Danio rerio: one gene and its partners. The protein of the gene in region 3 binds, or shares a complex with, the protein of the main gene of each other region. Links are inferred from orthologs where the notes say so. Each region holds a gene or a part of one and is shown on either strand. Other genes may lie near its edges.

What was found.
Region 1: tfdp1a (region 3) and lin52 share a complex: the UniProt entries of both Homo sapiens proteins name them as parts of the DREAM complex. The link is inferred for Danio rerio from reciprocal best matches to the Homo sapiens genes TFDP1 and LIN52.
Region 2: the proteins of tfdp1a (region 3) and e2f5 are in contact, whole or in part, in a crystal structure (PDB 5TUV), measured with the Homo sapiens proteins. The link is inferred for Danio rerio from reciprocal best matches to the Homo sapiens genes TFDP1 and E2F5. Residues at the interface, in NP_009042.1 of Homo sapiens: Glu201, Cys202, Leu205, Glu208, Arg209, Arg212, Leu213, Arg215, Ile216, Lys219, Gln220, Leu223, Leu226, Ile227, Gln230, Phe233, Leu236, Val237, Arg239, Asn240, Arg241, Arg249, Pro253, Ser255, Val256, Ile257, His258, Leu259, Pro260, Phe261; in NP_001942.2 of Homo sapiens: Val126, Arg129, Leu130, Lys134, Glu136, Ile137, Leu140, Glu141, Glu144, Leu147, Asp148, Gln150, Lys151, Leu154, Gln155, Ser157, Ile158, Val161, Met162, Ile166, Asn167, Asn168, Arg169, Phe170, Ser171, Tyr172, Val173, Thr174, His175, Asp177.
Region 4: tfdp1a (region 3) and mybl2b share a complex: the UniProt entries of both Homo sapiens proteins name them as parts of the DREAM complex. The link is inferred for Danio rerio from reciprocal best matches to the Homo sapiens genes TFDP1 and MYBL2.

The regions. Positions count from the first base shown.
Region 1 is NC_133192.1:33,276,441-33,280,725, forward strand, and holds the start of lin52 (protein lin-52 homolog), read right to left. Parts: upstream 2,801-4,285; 5' UTR 2,789-2,800; coding exon 2,770-2,788; intron 2,182-2,769; coding exon 2,107-2,181; intron 1,948-2,106; coding exon 1,910-1,947; intron 1,834-1,909; coding exon 1,767-1,833; intron 840-1,766; coding exon 756-839; intron 1-755.
Region 2 is NC_133177.1:34,650,591-34,654,536, forward strand, and holds the start of e2f5 (transcription factor E2F5), read right to left. Parts: upstream 2,801-3,946; 5' UTR 2,631-2,800; coding exon 2,490-2,630; intron 1,059-2,489; coding exon 949-1,058; intron 776-948; coding exon 614-775; coding exon of another isoform or gene 595-613; exon of another isoform or gene 1-594.
Region 3 is NC_133184.1:36,642,039-36,645,987, reverse strand, and holds the start of tfdp1a (transcription factor Dp-1a), read right to left. Parts: upstream 2,801-3,949; 5' UTR 2,713-2,800; exon of another isoform or gene 1,358-2,712; intron 1-1,357. UniProt on the Homo sapiens protein: Can stimulate E2F-dependent transcription.
Region 4 is NC_133186.1:1,629,030-1,633,299, reverse strand, and holds the start of mybl2b (v-myb avian myeloblastosis viral oncogene homolog-like 2b), read right to left. Parts: upstream 2,801-4,270; 5' UTR 2,579-2,800; coding exon 2,559-2,578; intron 1,980-2,558; coding exon 1,883-1,979; intron 202-1,882; coding exon 130-201; intron 9-129; coding exon 1-8. Other genes in the region: uncharacterized protein si:ch73-303b9.1, read left to right, coding at 3,683-3,707. UniProt on the Homo sapiens protein: Transcription factor involved in the regulation of cell survival, proliferation, and differentiation. Transactivates the expression of the CLU gene.

The DNA of each region.
Region 1 (4,285 bases), on a different chromosome or scaffold from region 3:
AATTTTAAATCAATATAAATGCATATCTTTGAATTATTTAAATTAACTGATGCTTTTTTTATCCTCTCTCTGTAACATTATGGAAATTATTCAAAATAGTAGAGTAAAAATCAAGTAGACAGAAAAGCATTTGACTGATTTTTCTCATTGAAGCATAGTTTGTTGAGGGCTTTCTGAGGGACATGCCACACAAAGGTCAAATCAGCAGAAGGAATGTAATACATCTGAAACGAGTGTTCACCAATGGTCTGCAGTACTCGCTTTCAAATTGTGCGATGTTTCGATGCCCATTTTCATCTAGAAAATAACTGAAACACTTATCTTTCCTGTAATCCTGCCTGCGTGGATTAATGCTACATCTAGCAATTCTGTGATATAATATTACAGAGACACTGGGCAACAAGCCAGTTCTGTTTAAATATAGAGTGGGAATTCATTTGAGACTTACAGACTGAAATAAACGAATAGAACATAACAAATAAGTGTTTTTTCCACACAAGGATTCAGATGGATTTAGGCTCCAGACTACATATAATGAATTATTTGTTGTATTGTCTTTTTAACTCTATCCTAAATATCACAGCGGCAAAAAACATGAAAAATGTCTTTATGTATTAAAAGCTGGGTTTGTGTTTGTCAGTAAGTTTTATTCTTTTTCTAATATCGCCATCTAGTGGATGACTTACAATATACCGTAACTAGATAAACAGTGTGAACTAATGCACTATTTCTGAGTTGAGTAAGACATTACTTACACTCCTCCAAGCCCAACTGGTAAGCCAGATTCTGCAGACCCTTCACCTTTTCCATCAAATTTGCTGTGGTCAAACTTCCTAATTCTAAAAAAAAAAAAGCCACAACAAACAAGTTACAAAAAATAAAATAAAAATGGACCAGAACCGAAACAAAATATTATACTGTAGCTTTTATAAATTCCAGGGTTTCTGCAGGTTTCACAAAGTTAAATTTAAGACTTCAAGACATTTTCAAGACCCTTATGAATGAAATTTTAGACTCATAAAGGACTAATCGCTAAGGAATTTTTCATATGGCCCAGATGGAAAAGATTTTTCATTTGCCCCATCAAAAAACGATTATATATTAATAATACAATTATAATTTAATAATAAAAAAATAAATATTTTAGATATTTTTTATAAAAATATTCAAATATTGTTTAAAAACAAACAAGCTCTACTTGTATACATACACTTTATTTTTCCAACATAAACTTTCTTTACAATAAAAAATGAATTAATGTTTTTAAAGTTTTAATATAACTAAATCTATGCAAAACAATCTGTCCAGGTCGGTGTCCTCAGCAGCAAATACATGGAACACTTTTTAACAAATATTATGTATTTTGAGGAAAATAATAAAACTGTTATGGTAAACAGAGTTAAAAATCACCTTTTTATATAAAAGGTTTTATTGAGATGAATTGTTGGTGATCGTATAGGACTAATGGCCAGACTGCGTAGCGATACATAAACAAAGGAAAATTAAGACCTAATTTAAAAAAAATTTAATTTAACATTTAGGAACTACAACACAATATTTCAGTAAATTTAAGACATAAAAATGTAATTTTGAGGTTTAAGACATTTTACGACTTTTTAAGACCGCGCGGACACCCTGGAATTCACCAAGCAACTCATCTAACTATTATTAACCTATTCTACTAAGCAATATATAGAAAGCATAGATAAAAGACTAAATGATACATTAAAAGACTTGATATGAATACTACTTTAAAAAAGGCAGACCTTTCAACATTTCAATATCCTCTGACTCCAGTTCAGCCATCCATTTGGGTGGAGAATTTGTAATAGGCTGAAATAACAAAAACCAAGCCTTAATTTCACATCAACTTTGAAAAGTATTCATTATCATTTGAATATTTACTCACATTTTTAAAGGATGCTGCAAATTCTGACACACCCGGCACTGTTAAAAACAAAGCGTTCAAAAATATGACAATGTGTAATAATCAAATGTAATTTCTATATTTCAATCAGTGCATTTTTTTTTACATATATTTGGAAAAATATGTTAATGTGTCATAAATATTAGTCCAACTGAATAAGATTAGAGAGTCAAACTTACACTGCTCTGGCCACAGGTCAGGTGAAGCCCGGTCAAGATTTTCTAAACTTATCAGAGAAGATTCAAAGTCCTCACCTACACATTAAAAAGATAAATGCTCTATGGTCAGAGAAAACTCATCAGCAACAGGATCAATAAACCTGAAGTACAATAAAAAATGTTAAATATACACAATTTCAATTTTAACATAACTCAGCTTAGATGACGTTACAAAAAAAAATCTTCTGTCACATATTATTCAAGGTGTAAAATTAAGCTGATGTTATGACAGAGATATTATGTTTACTCAGCTGCTAAGTTACTCAAAGCTGAGCTAGCTGCATTGAGTAATCTTGTCACAAAATAATGAGTTACATAACTAACGTTAAAGATAAAATCACGACACACCAAAAGTAATATGTCTTCGCGTATTTACTACACTATTACATTCGTATTAAATTATTACTACACAACTGATGTCGTCTGACACGTAGCTTTGCTAATGACTGGCTCCAAACAATTTTATGACGCTATTCCGACTGAAAAGCTTATTTTGATTCAGAATCCATCAGTTCTTTATAAAAAATATGCTAAACCGCATAATGATTTATATGACTTAATTAGTCCGTTGCACTATTGCGTTAACAACTAACGCTGCCAGGGAAAAGAGGAATTAAAATTTACCTCCATTCGGAGACGCCATCTTGACAACAACACACGTGATTCTAAGCAGCCAATCACTGGAGGTCTTGGATAAAATAGCCACACCCTCTTATGTTGTAAAATGATGTCGCAATAATTGACTGAAAAATATGAATATAAATATTATTGACAGCACAAACCTTTTTGTTGACCAAACTCTTCTCAGTTCTATGTCAAACAAAGTGATTCTCTTTATTGTTAACAGTTCTCTGATCTCTTTAATGGTCTTTAATGGCCTTTTCTTGATATTGATCTTGGATGGTATTCGGAAAAAATACATATTTTTATCTAATAAAGCTGTTGAAGTCTCAATCAGAATCATTCATAATTGCTACCCAATAAACAACAAACTAGGTAAATTTAATAACAATATTTCCTTCAAATGCTCATTTTGTACTCAATATGGTGAAACACTAAATCTTTTTGGCCTATTTTGGGAGTGCACTTATTGTAAAGTCATTTGGGTTGACTTTTCCAATTTCACAAAAATTGTATTATTTCCAAACTTTTGTATTTCCCACAAAAAATTATATTCTTTAGATACTTTCTGAATTCTTGTAAATTTGTAATTAATTGTTTCCCCCCCCCTAAAATTTACATCGATAAATGTAAATTTTCAAAGAAACACCCTACTTTTTTATTTTAAGAAATTACTTTATATGTGAACTCTTTAAAAGACCCTAACAGTTATATTGCATGTAAAACACTTTCTTGGTGTAAATCATTTAAACTTGTTTAATTTGCTGGAATTTTAATTATGAATTCATTTCTGTCTATTTGTTTAAACTGTGTCTTTGATAACGTTCTTTCTTGCAAAATAAGTAAAAATATATATGAATAATATGCGAACATTAATATGTTTAGCTTTCATACAGAGTACTTGAGTAGTATTATGATAGTGTTAATATAATATAAGACTCAAGACTCAGTCAGGCCAAAAAACACAGCAGAACAAACTTCTGTACAGCTACAAAAAAGGCAGTAATTATAAATAGACCAAAAATAAAAATTATTGGTAAACATAAACAAGTCTAGTTTCAGCACATTTTAACGTATCATATCAATATTTTTAACAGAGTGTTCATTTTATTTATTTTAAAACACTAAAGAAACATCATTCATTCACTGTAGCATTATTACTTTGATCAACCCATTTTCAAATGCTTTGTACATAGCATTATACGAAAAGGCCCATTTAAAAGACATTAAAAAAGGGATGGTATTGTAAAACTGGTTGAAGAAATAACTATCAACACCTCTGTACAGATCATGTCTCTAAAAGACAGAAGGTCACTTTATTATACTTGGAAAAATAAAATAATTAGTAAAATTAAATAAGTAAAATTCAAGTATAAATACAGAGCTCTTACAATGTTGGTGATTAATGAAAAACATATATATTTTCAGTCAATTGAGCCAGAAAATGTGTTGGTATCAAATGCAACACAACCTAAATCCAAATAAATGCACCTGAGTCAGTCTGTTTACAATTTGCATT
Region 2 (3,946 bases), on a different chromosome or scaffold from region 3:
TGAACTAACATAGTTTGTACAAGTAAAAAAATTAAATAAAATTGACTTTTGAATAACTGAATTTGAATTGAGCACAAGCATGTGTGTTTGTGTGTCTACGTATATAAAGTGCGTTTATTTTCAGAGGCACTTTGCTTGGATTGATAGACATTTTTCAGTTTAGAATGATATCCTACTGTTACAGTTGTGCAATCTAAATGAACAGTATGATAACTGGTGTAGATGTGAATGTGCCACAGCCTCTCATGCCCAAAATGCCTTTATTGCATTGCTAACCTCTGCATAATAAAATTAATTAAAGTACATTTAAACAACTTCTGGATTAACACATATGTCATATCCTATCATATGCCAACCAAACCATAAATATTAATCATTTTACATACTCCATGTTACCTGTATTTAAAAAAAAAAAAAAAAAAAAAAAAAAAAGTTTACATTTTAGTTTTATGAAAGATTCATTTTATGACTTGTCGTAAAAACCACCTTCTGTGAGCGCAAAAGCTTTTTTGCAATATAGGAGTTTTTTTTAATGGACACATTTCCATTGGATGCGTTTTGCAATTTGCATAATTTGAAGGTTAATGGAAACGCCTACTGACAGTAAGGATATCTGCAGCTGTAGGGGTCTTCATTCAGTTGTTTGATGCTTTGTTGCAGACATGCTTTCTGCATGTCCAGCTCTCTTTCCTGAAGCTCCAGATCAGCGATATTCGCCTTGAGAAGTTCCACCTGCTCAAGAACCTCCTGAGGCTGGCAGCCTGTACTCTCCCCCCTAAACAAGATAAAGCAACTGCTTTGGAGATGGATGCAAAGGAGCATGCATGGTGCAAATTTAGCACACATTTAAAAAAAATGCACATAATTACATAAAGAAATATTGTATACATAAATACAATACGTCAGTACCATCAGCACTTTGTGGCACATCTTAATCTTTGAACTCACTTCCACTGAATGGTGTTTTTGGTCTTTTTTTCAATGAGTCCAATGCCTTCCAGGACATTGGTAATGTCATAGATTCTCCTCTTTTGTTTGACAGCCAAACTGTCAGCAGCCTATGGAAATAAATCACAATGTCATTATAAGCAATCATGCAGTTAGAAAACAGGAATTGGTTATTTGCGGGACCCAAAATAGCTTGTGTTGATATATACCACCTCATATCCAAACCGATATCATGAATAAGTGAAATAACTGTTTAAAAATAAAAATAACAATTTAATAAGAAAAAACTAATTGTAAACTAAAGTTAACTAATTGTATCAAATGACCAAATGATAATAAATGTATTTTCTCATGCAAACAACACACAAAAAAGTTTCACTTGTACCTCATTTCTGCATGAAAAACATTTATCTTTGCAGTTTTTCTAAATTGTAATTTTTCATTATGAAAGCACAGCAACTAAAGTGAATGTATTAAAATTTGATTTTTTTTTATTTTTGATGTACGAAAATCACAAGACTATGAATAACTACACCAAAACAACAGATCCCAAACCTGCTGGTGCAAATTTTAAGGGGCTTTGGGGGGATTGACCCCCCTAATTAGTTTTTAATATTAATAGTTTAATAGTTTTTTAATATTGAGAAATATTCCACTCTGATTTGCTTTTTAAATACTAATGTTAGTAATAAATATAATATTTAATATAAACCACCCCTATAATGATTCAAACCATTGTTAATGCATAATTGCACCAATCAGACTATTTGGAAAAAGTGGCAGATCTGGAGCACCAACAGACATCATGTTCATAAGACTTTGTTTTGTCGTAAAATAGGTGTTTGTGTCTATATTTAGCCTGAAAATAAAATCAAATTAGATGCATAGTTTGTAGTTTAACCTACAGTGACATTTGAAATAGCCAATCAGGGAATACTATAGGTCAGAAAACACAAAATATATCTCTCAAAACGCTGAAAACTTAAATACGTTTGATTAACAAACTAGATGTAATACATAAATGACTGAAGTATGTATGGCACAAACTAACCTTAACAGCAGACGCCCCAGATGTCAATGTATAATTCGCACACTGTTAAGCACATCTCATTTGTACATATAAACAGATTTGCAAAATTAAATTTGTATATCGTTTAGGTGCTTTATTTAGTACATTTTAGAGGAAAGTAACAGGTGTTTTAGGCTGAGTAAAATTTTCTCCAATGTTTTTACATGTTGCGCCTCTGCTGCCTCAAGCGTCAGGTAACAAACACCTGCTGTGAGAGAAAAATGGGTTTCTGTACAAACCCCCCTGACACAAGACACGACATTTCGATCTTTCATTTAACACTTTTAATCAACCTCGAACCAGAGCTTTAATGTTTCTGCATAACTCTATTACTAAACGCCTCAGTTTACGGCGAAAGTTCACTCAGGTGAGAGAGTTTCTTTGTGTACGTCCTGACTGAACTCCGCAGCCTGTCGACTTTCATTCATTCTCGTCACTCATTCATTCGGCTCGTAAATGTGTTTTAACCCACCACTTTGAGGTCGAGCACCCCATCTTTGGCCTCCTGGAGCAGGGTGACGAACTTGACTGTGAGGAGACCCAAACTCTTCTCGTGGCGACTGGACCCGTTCGGTGTCGAGTGAGGGAAACTTGCGCTGTTCGACTCGGCCATAACATCCAAACGCCCGGTGTTTACTGAGGTGACACAAAAAATGGCCTTTGTCCCGTGTGGAGGTGGACCTCAGTTTGGATGGCGGCGGTGAGGGGGAGCAGAATTCATCTCCAACACTTCTTTACCTCAGGCTACACTTCTACTGCTGATGGCTCGAGGCTTTTTAAATCAAAGGAAATGACGTTGGATTACAGTTACTATGACAACGTATTCGCTTGAGCGTTTGGCCAGAGCAGTTTTTTTTTATCAGACACGAAAACCCAAATAAGATCCACAAGTCCTAAATATACCGCTAACGTTCATTCAATTAAGATGTTTTCTAATAACGTTATAAATTGATCAAAAATATTACCTGCAATTTCTTGAAGTCACATTATTACATTTTTTTCCTGCGGATATTATTTCTTTCCATTTTTTTATTTCACTCATTTTAATACAACTTTGAGTTAATTTTTCTTCATTTGTATGTTTCTTGAAGTACTATATAATTTTATTTTAATAGGATTTAGGATTATCTGAGTCTTATTTAATTAAATGTGTATTTATTTTTATAATAAGACTAGTTAAATCCAGTTTTTTGTTGTTTATTTTATGTGAATGCATGTTTATGTATTAATCATAAAAATTCTAACAATAAAATATATTTTAATCCTATTTATTCATTGAAATCTTAATTTTTCTTTGTAAAAATTAAACTACTTTGCAGTAATATAATCTATTATTTATTTTAATCTAATATGTATGTTTAATTTAATCAAACTATTGGCATTCCAAAATTAGCTTATTCTACTGCCAATGTGCATTTATATATTTTTCATAAAATATTTCAAATACTAAATTTTTGATTATTCATTATTATTTATTTCAATGTTATTATATATTTGTTTTTTAATGAATTGCGTTAAATATTTTAATTTATTTACAATTTTATTTTCTCCAAATTTTCACAGACCACTTTGTGCCCAGTTTGCAAACCCCTGGTAGAGATTTGACCCACTTCAGTGCTTTGAGAAGTGTACATTTGAAAAAAATTTAATTAAATAAAAGAATTAACTAATGAATTAAAAAGAACACACTGTACAATGAACAACAAATGATTTATAATTTAATTAAAAAAATGTAAAAAAAGTGCATTATATGATACCGTACACTCAATGTACAGTTCAACAAAAATAACTTACTGATGTTTTGTATTTTTTCATTAAAAGACAGAAGTTTCACAGCTACGCCAGTTTTCTGTTAAAGAAAATGGGAGTAAAAAGCCAATAAGACAGCTAAACACAAAAGGCTAAACACTCAGATGCACAGTCTCAGTT
Region 3 (3,949 bases):
TTGGGACTTGTGGAGCTGTGCATTGATGGATTTGCTCTTCAGTGTTTGGACTTTCAGTAGTAAAATTTAAACCACCCTGAACTGAACTTCAAATGTGAAATCCAGACTAACACGGTTTCAATTTACTAGAATTTCTATGTTAAGCTGCTTTGACACAATCTACAATGTAAAAGTGTTAGAGAAATAAACATTTAATACAAAAATTACATATTTTGTAAGAGAACATCCAAAACATTGCTGTGTGCTGGGCTAAACACACTTATAGTGGAAAGCCTATAAAACATGAAGGCTAAAGGAGTCAAAACTGTGACATTAAGAACTTTGATTGCAAGAAGACTCCTTTTCAAAACCTGTACTCAACCATAAGAAGCAGTATTTCTTCTAAAAATATATGTATGATAGTGCACTGTCTTTTTTGTGGTCACATATTGTGACATGTTTTAGTTTGCAAGGAAGTATATTGTGTTGCATCGCAATCATGCCAAAACCTATTTTTCCAGCAGTGATGGTCTGCTTGTTTGGTCCACAACCATGGCAGCGTTCACACTTATTCAAATGATCCAACAGAGCAACTGCACCAGAGATAATTCTAATCAAACCAAACCCACCAAGTGTCAATGAACACACCCTTACATCTTTAGCACAAGCCTAAACAATACAAGTTTACACGAATGTTTATATATTAACATCTCAATGCAGTGTTTAGCCAAGATGTTTTACTTGATGATATTATTTACATGTGGATTAAAACATCACAAGTGTATTGAGATGAGACCCAAACACTTTCAAGCACTGTGTGAATTCAAAGTTAGTTCGATTCGGTGTTTGCTAAAGAAGTCGCAATTTTTAAAATGCTGTCTAGGTAGGACGCTCACAAGGTTTGGAAACACTGTCATGGTTGATGAAAACGAGGCCCGCCAGCTCTCATGCAGCTTTTATTACCAGACAAAGACCTCGACGAATCGTATCATCTCTTTAACATCAAATCTCGAACTCCTACACCCAAACCCCTCGTGCAATATCCTGAAAAACATCCATATGCAACAGTTCCTGTCGTTTTGAGTAACTTTTCTTGCAAAAGGAAAGGGCCCTTAAATACAAAAATATCAAGTGTCTCAAGTAATAAAAAAGCGTGTAAACGCATCAAGCAGAACGATAATCTGCTTCATTCGTTTACTTTTTCCGCTCCAAACATAATGCACAATCGAAGCAGTGTGCACTATTATAAAGCGTGTTAGCCCAGTTAGCTAGCAGCCTTTCAAACACGTTTTGCAACGAACCCTGGTCCTAATTGTGATCAAAACGTGCTTCTCGTGTTTAAATGCGAGCAGATCGGGTATTGTGCATGTGCTCGTACCGTTTTGCAAACGAATCGGACTTAAATGGCCATCTGGAAATGAAGTCTGTAAACTTTCCTCTGAACTTACAGTCCTGAAGCCCTTTGCCTTCTTAGGTGCTGTTTTTGTTGGCATAGCCAGTTAGCAAGAGGACAGAGGAAGAGGAGGTCTGAAGCCCATCTCTCAAACAGGAAACAAAAATAAATCAAATAATATGAAAAATAAAAACCCATGTGCGGTGAATGAGCGTGCTTTTGAAACGAGCTTGCACTTGGGAGATGTTTGATTGTTAGATCATGGCACATTCATAAACCTCAAAATGGATGCGGATGTTTTAAGCATGCACATACAAGACGCATGCAAACTGTAAATCCCTATAAATAATTCCAAATAAAAGAACTAAAATTATCAATATATATTATATAGAGTTTAATAAAGAATAATCTTAAGCAAATATATGTATATAAACGGCCACATTATTAAGCAACACAGTTGACAGTCACAACACCTATTCAGCTGGAGGGTCACAGAATTCGTTGGCTTCAACAGCAACACAAGTTAAACAACCGATTATACTCTAAAAACGGAAAATAGCCGTTCATAATGGGACATAATTATTTGCAAACATTCATGAACTAATTGAACAAACAGGATGGTTTTGGTTTAATGCCTGGCAGCCATTTTACATGGTTGCTAAAGCAAAGCCAACATGCAGTGATGCTAGCTGAGGTGACAGGTCCTTCTGTCGTCAAAAACTACTTATTAATTGAACAAAATCCTCGTGCTTATGCGATAGTAACAATAACAACTGTTTCTTTAGTTTCAAAAGTCTTTAAAACACGCTTTAAAGCGAATTAAAATAAAACTGTTAAGCTAGCGACCAGGCGAGCTAGTAACGTCAAGCTAACTTCCACTCAAATCGAGGTCATCTCGACAGCTTTATCATAATCAATCTACGATCCCCTTACTATTGTTTATTACACGTCCAGTTTTGCCTGCCAATGCTTTTTTGTACGATCGGTAAAGATCAGGGACGATTTTCTATTGCACTACACTGACAGAAACACTTGACATGGCTTAGCATGTTGGCTAACACAAGCCATCTGAGACAGACAGTTTTAATATTTCACCTATATGATAATGAATCAGGACTGATGGTTAACAGACTAACGGCCTCAGATAGCAGATGTACAACTGCATACAGTCGCACGCTGTTGTTTTAGAACGAGTTTGCTGTCAAACGCACTTATTTTGTGTTAAATTATTACAAGCGCAGATAAAAGACAGCTTCTTTATGCACTGGTGATATATAAAAACGGAAAACATCGCTCAAAGCTGTCTGTGTGGACTCGGAGCCCCCCCTGGTCTCACTTACGGTCGGTTGCATCCGCCTTCAACTGTCTAGCGTAGAATGAATAGGAGCGCACAGTAGAACCTGCTCCCTCTCTAGGTCTGTAAAACTGAGCTTGGCGGTGTCGACGCCACGGGAAACCCGATTGGACGATGATGCTCGTGACGTCGAAAAAACGTATTACAAAAGACACGCCCGCGCTAAATTCTGATTAGACGGAGCGCTACAAAAGCTGTGTTGACATGTTCTCATTGGTTGATTATACTGGATTCCACCCACTGCGTCTGAGGGTGGAGCGTGCGTAGGTATATATGTAAATAAAGAGAATAAAAAATGGTTCATGTGTATTAAATGTCTAATATATGTTTATTAATACCACCCAATACAATAAGAACATCTGTTACCAGTGTATAAATGTCTAATTACCGCTTTCATATCACTTTCTCGGGTTATATTTTCAATTAGACCGCTTCCCCTTTGCACGGTAGTCATCCTGTTTATTTATTTAGATCTCAGTACTGTAAAAGTACTAAACATTTGAACCTAAGCTTAGATACAGACACCATATCAATTTATTACAGGTTTGTGGTGCAAAATAGTGCACTGGTATCCATTTAACTGTATTTAGGAAATGAAAAGGAAAAGGTAAACTCTTTCTTAGCTCTTTAAGTGTATTTGTTGGCTTGTTAGCCAAGTTACGATTAATAAATTGTGTTTTCATTTTAAATAATTGAGAAAAGATGTATAAAAAACAACATAAAATACGTTTAGAGGCGTTTAGTATTATGCACAAGTCAATATTTATGAAGTACAAATCATAATGTACAAATCAGCAAAATAATAAATTAGACTATTTTATTTGCTCATTATATAAAATATAAAATTGAAACTTTAAGTCATTAGGTCACATTTTGGTTTTAGGACTGTAACATGTTTATCAGTATTCATGCTGCCCCCACAGACAGGACTGTATACAGTATGTTTTATACAGATAACTAATGGAGAAGTGTTCAAAAAGGGTGTCACCATTTAGTGTCACTATCATTTTCAGGTCTCTGGGTGGGTATATTTGAAGAAGTTATTTGAATTAAATACTGTACATCAAGGGTGCCCAAACCCGGTCCTTGAGGGACGGTTTCCTCCATTTTTTAGGTGTAACCCCAATTAAACACACCTGAACTAGCTAATCAAGCTCTTTCTAGGTATACTAGAAACTTCCAGGCAGGTGGGTTAAGGAAAGTTGGAGCTAAACTATGCAGGA
Region 4 (4,270 bases), on a different chromosome or scaffold from region 3:
GATCGATTCTTCAACAACAAACACACTCTTACAGCATTTCAACTTTAATCAGACACTCAAATGTTCAATAGATCAAAGCATAAATAACATCTGATGTGCGTTTTCTGAATGCATGATAAACACACTTACAGGTAAAAATCCAGCGATGTATTTCCAGTCATTTGATCCAACATTCAGCACCAGTTTACGCAGCTTATCATCCTGGGATATGCCAATGAACATGAAATTAGAGATATGCAATATTTATTTATGTTTTAATGCCATATCAGCAGCATTCATGACAAAACCTAAACTAAAAATACAATATATAACAAGCAATCATATCAGTTTCTTCATAAACATTCATTGTACAAAAAACATCAACACTGAAAAGAGTCTCATACAATCATTTAGTCTAATTAATAAAAGTATGAGTCCCGGCTGGGTCAGTAGGCGGTTCTGTGTGGAGTTTGCATGTTCTCCCCATGTTAGTGTGGGTTTCCTCCAGGTGCTCCGGTTTCCCCTACAGTCCAAACACATGTGCTATAGAGGAATTGATGAACTACATTGGCCGAAGTGTACGAGTGTCTATCCAGACATGAACATGATGTGACATGATGTGTATACTCTGCGTAAAGGATTTTCTTTTCAATAACTGATATATTTTTTGGGGGGGATAGTTGGTTGGGCCAGTAGAAAGTATTGTTTTGTTTTATTTATTTCTACTGTTTGGACGCCACCCACGTCTCATCTCTCCAATTCTCTCATCTATCGGTTCAAACATTTGTTGACTGCAATTGTGAATATATTTTTGTAAATATTTATTATTGTTTAAATATCCATAATTTTGCATTTATTATTATCACTATATTTGTAAATAAACTCACTTTATTGCATTTAGTTAGTCTTGGCATTTTGTCCCTCACTTGTAAATATTGTGTTTGCTCATGTTTCACCCAAAATTAATGTTACTCTCCTTCCCCTTGACTGACCATCTTTAAGACTGTAACAATAAGTCACAATTTAAGAAAAAAACAACAACAAAAACACACTATTTATTGATGTGAAAAACATTAAAGATACTATTAAGTGACTGTTTTAAGTGAGGTAAAGTTGGCTTTATATATAGTTGCTCATTTTTTCAGTGACAACTTATGACATGCTCCCTATGTGGTTTATCATGGTACTTTGGATATTCAGTCTGAAATCAGATGTAAACATGAGTTTAAAACAACATTAGCACTATTTATTTGACTGTAAACAATGTTGTACTTTGATAGTCATTTGCTGCTGAGGTAAAGTTGGCTTTATATTCACAAATTCTGACTTTCTCCTTATTAATATAATTTCAGAAAAGTGTTCTTTGCTAATTCTAAATGATACAAATCTTATAAGCAGCGAGTGACTATCAAAGTACAACATTATTAAAAGTCAAATAAATAGTGCTAATGTTATTTTGAAGTCACATTTACATCTGATTTCAGGCTGAATATTCAAAGTACCATGGGAACTTATCGGAAGCATGTCACAAGCTATCACTAAAGGAAAGTAATTGAGGTAAAGTTGGTTTTATAAATCGCACATTCGTTAATTTAACTGTCTCTATATTGTTTACTACGCTTTTTTTTAAATATTCTATCAGAATTAGCATGCAAGTATGAGTTCAAAACAACATTAGCACTATTTAACTGACTGTAAACTATGATAAGCATTGGCTGCTAATATGATTTTCCTATTTATAATTTGCAAAGAACACTTTTCTGAAATGATATTATTAAGGAGAACGTCAGAAAATCCGAATATTAAACCAACTTTACCTCTATACGAATGTGTGAATATGAAACCTCAAAAATAACTTCACCCCAATATTGTTTAGATTCTGCAATTAGAGAATTGTGTTTACCTCCTCTTGTGTCCACTTGACTTTCACCTTCCCACAATCTCTCTGGTCAGCTACATCAGAGTCTGTGTCCTGGCATAAGGCCTCCTCCTCATCCTCACTGTAACACACACACATACACATACACGTTAAACAACACTGACCGCAGATCAGCAAACACTGTCTGACACCATTTATCAGGGCCTTGTGTTTGCTAAGCAATGTCTATTAACACCAAAGGGAAAAAAACAACACTTTTACTGCAGAAAAGTTCAGAAAATAATACTTTAACCCCCCTAAATGTGCTCAATAATTACATTAAAATACAATACACATTCAGAGCTAATATCTCGAGCTATTAGCAGCTCAGCTAACATTAACAACGCTTGTCATCAAAGTATAAAGCACTTTTCTCGGTCTTAAAGCTAAATGTACAACTTATAACAGTGTGTGATGCTGACTAACATTGTAAATCTGACTTTGTGCAAATCTTTATTATGCTAATATTATAGTAGTTCCGCGTTTATCAGCTCTCTTTGTGCTATTAGGCGGGGTTCAATGGATCATTCACAAACTTATTGTCAACAATCACCACATGCACAGGCAGAATACATTTCTAAGTCTCATTTTTAGCCCTAAAGTGAATCTCCATTACAGATGAACAATAAACATGTACGAATAATAAACTTAGTGTACTTACCCGCGCGCCCACCAAGACATTTCCCTGATGTTTGATCAAAATACGCCAATAATACAGACCTTTATGAGGACACTCTGAGTCTAGAACACACGCATAAACTCATGTGTGATGCTAATTAGACAGTCGATCAAATTAAGTAAAGAGTTTCATTGAAAAGCGCACAGGAGCTCGCAGCTAAACATCCACTGCTGCGCGCCCAAGTTCCTATCTCGCGCTTCTTTTTCTCGTCCATTCCCGCGAGTGACGTAAAGCCAACACAGGCTGAACGTCACGCACAAATGCGTGCGCGCGCGAAACACACACGGACGCGCATTTGGTCAAAGTATACACACGTAAATGTATTTTTATGTATTATAGATTTATCCCTTTAGTAGCCTACATCCTTAAGACTAAATTATATGTTAGCCCCAAAGTTAACAATATAACGAGTATTGTGAGCCTAATGTGAGGCTAATATAGAAGTTAGCCTTGAGGATGTAACGTTAGGCTAGTTCACCCCAAAATGAAAATGTACTCAACCTCAGATGGTTTATAACCTTTTATTAGTTCTGTTGAACACAAAAGAAGATATTATGACTTCCATATAGGATAAACAAATACTATATGAGTCATTGGTTACAGGTTTTCTGCTTTTGTGTTCGACAGAAGAAACTTGGATCCAGTTTAAGGGAGATAAACGATGATTTTGCGTGAACTGCCCATTCAATAGTCCTTTACTCGTATTTCTGACATTCCGTTTAAAAAACTTAACAACTAAAAGTCGTAAAAACACGATTTGACATGTCATAATTAAACATTAAACGTTTAAAGTATGACATTAAAGTATAAAATGAGTGTTGGTAAAATTATGAATATGTACCGGAAGATTCATTCAGATAGCGATTTTTGTTTTACAAAATGGCGATAAAACTCAGAGCTAGTAATTAATTACTAAACCCAAATCTTATTATTTGGTTTTTCATCTGCATTGAAATATAGATATGATCAAGCATTGTGATTATAGACGTGTTTAGAGTATTTATCCACTGAAAAGATCCCCTTTTCCCAAAAGCCTGAAGAGCTAATGAGCTAATCATGCTCAGCCATAAATACAAGCTGAGTCTAATTACCTCCACACTTTCCTAATGGACGCAGGACGGGACAGACCTGGTAAAACACACACTTATATAAATAATGTTGAAGTTTTAGTAATAATATTTGCTATAATAAGCTGCAAACACATTTAACAGAGCTCTTACTGGTGCAGGTATTGCTTAAAATGCTTGAAAGGTTTGAATTGTGCTGAGATTTGGGATAAATCTGATAATCTGATTATTTGCTTGATAATCGTAAAATGTTACTAAATGGATAATTAAATATTTGTTCTTGCATAAAGTGGAAACTCTGGGCTCTGCGAATGCACTTATGATGTCCACTTTTTTTATTTTTCTTAATTTTATTTTATTTGCACTCTTTGCCTATACATTGGGAGAAGACCATGGGGGATTACTGCTTTGAGTGGAAAAATGCATGAAATTAAAATTAATTTTCATTTAAGATCCAAATAAATTATTTAATAGAGTACATTACAGCATGTTTTGGTTAGTCTAGGGCAAACATGCCATCAAAAAAACTGTCCTTAGCGAATACTATAGCATCTGATGTAAAGTGAAGTATGAATATGTAAGAAAATTGTGTAATGTACACTTGTGACTTCTCAAATTCACCATGAA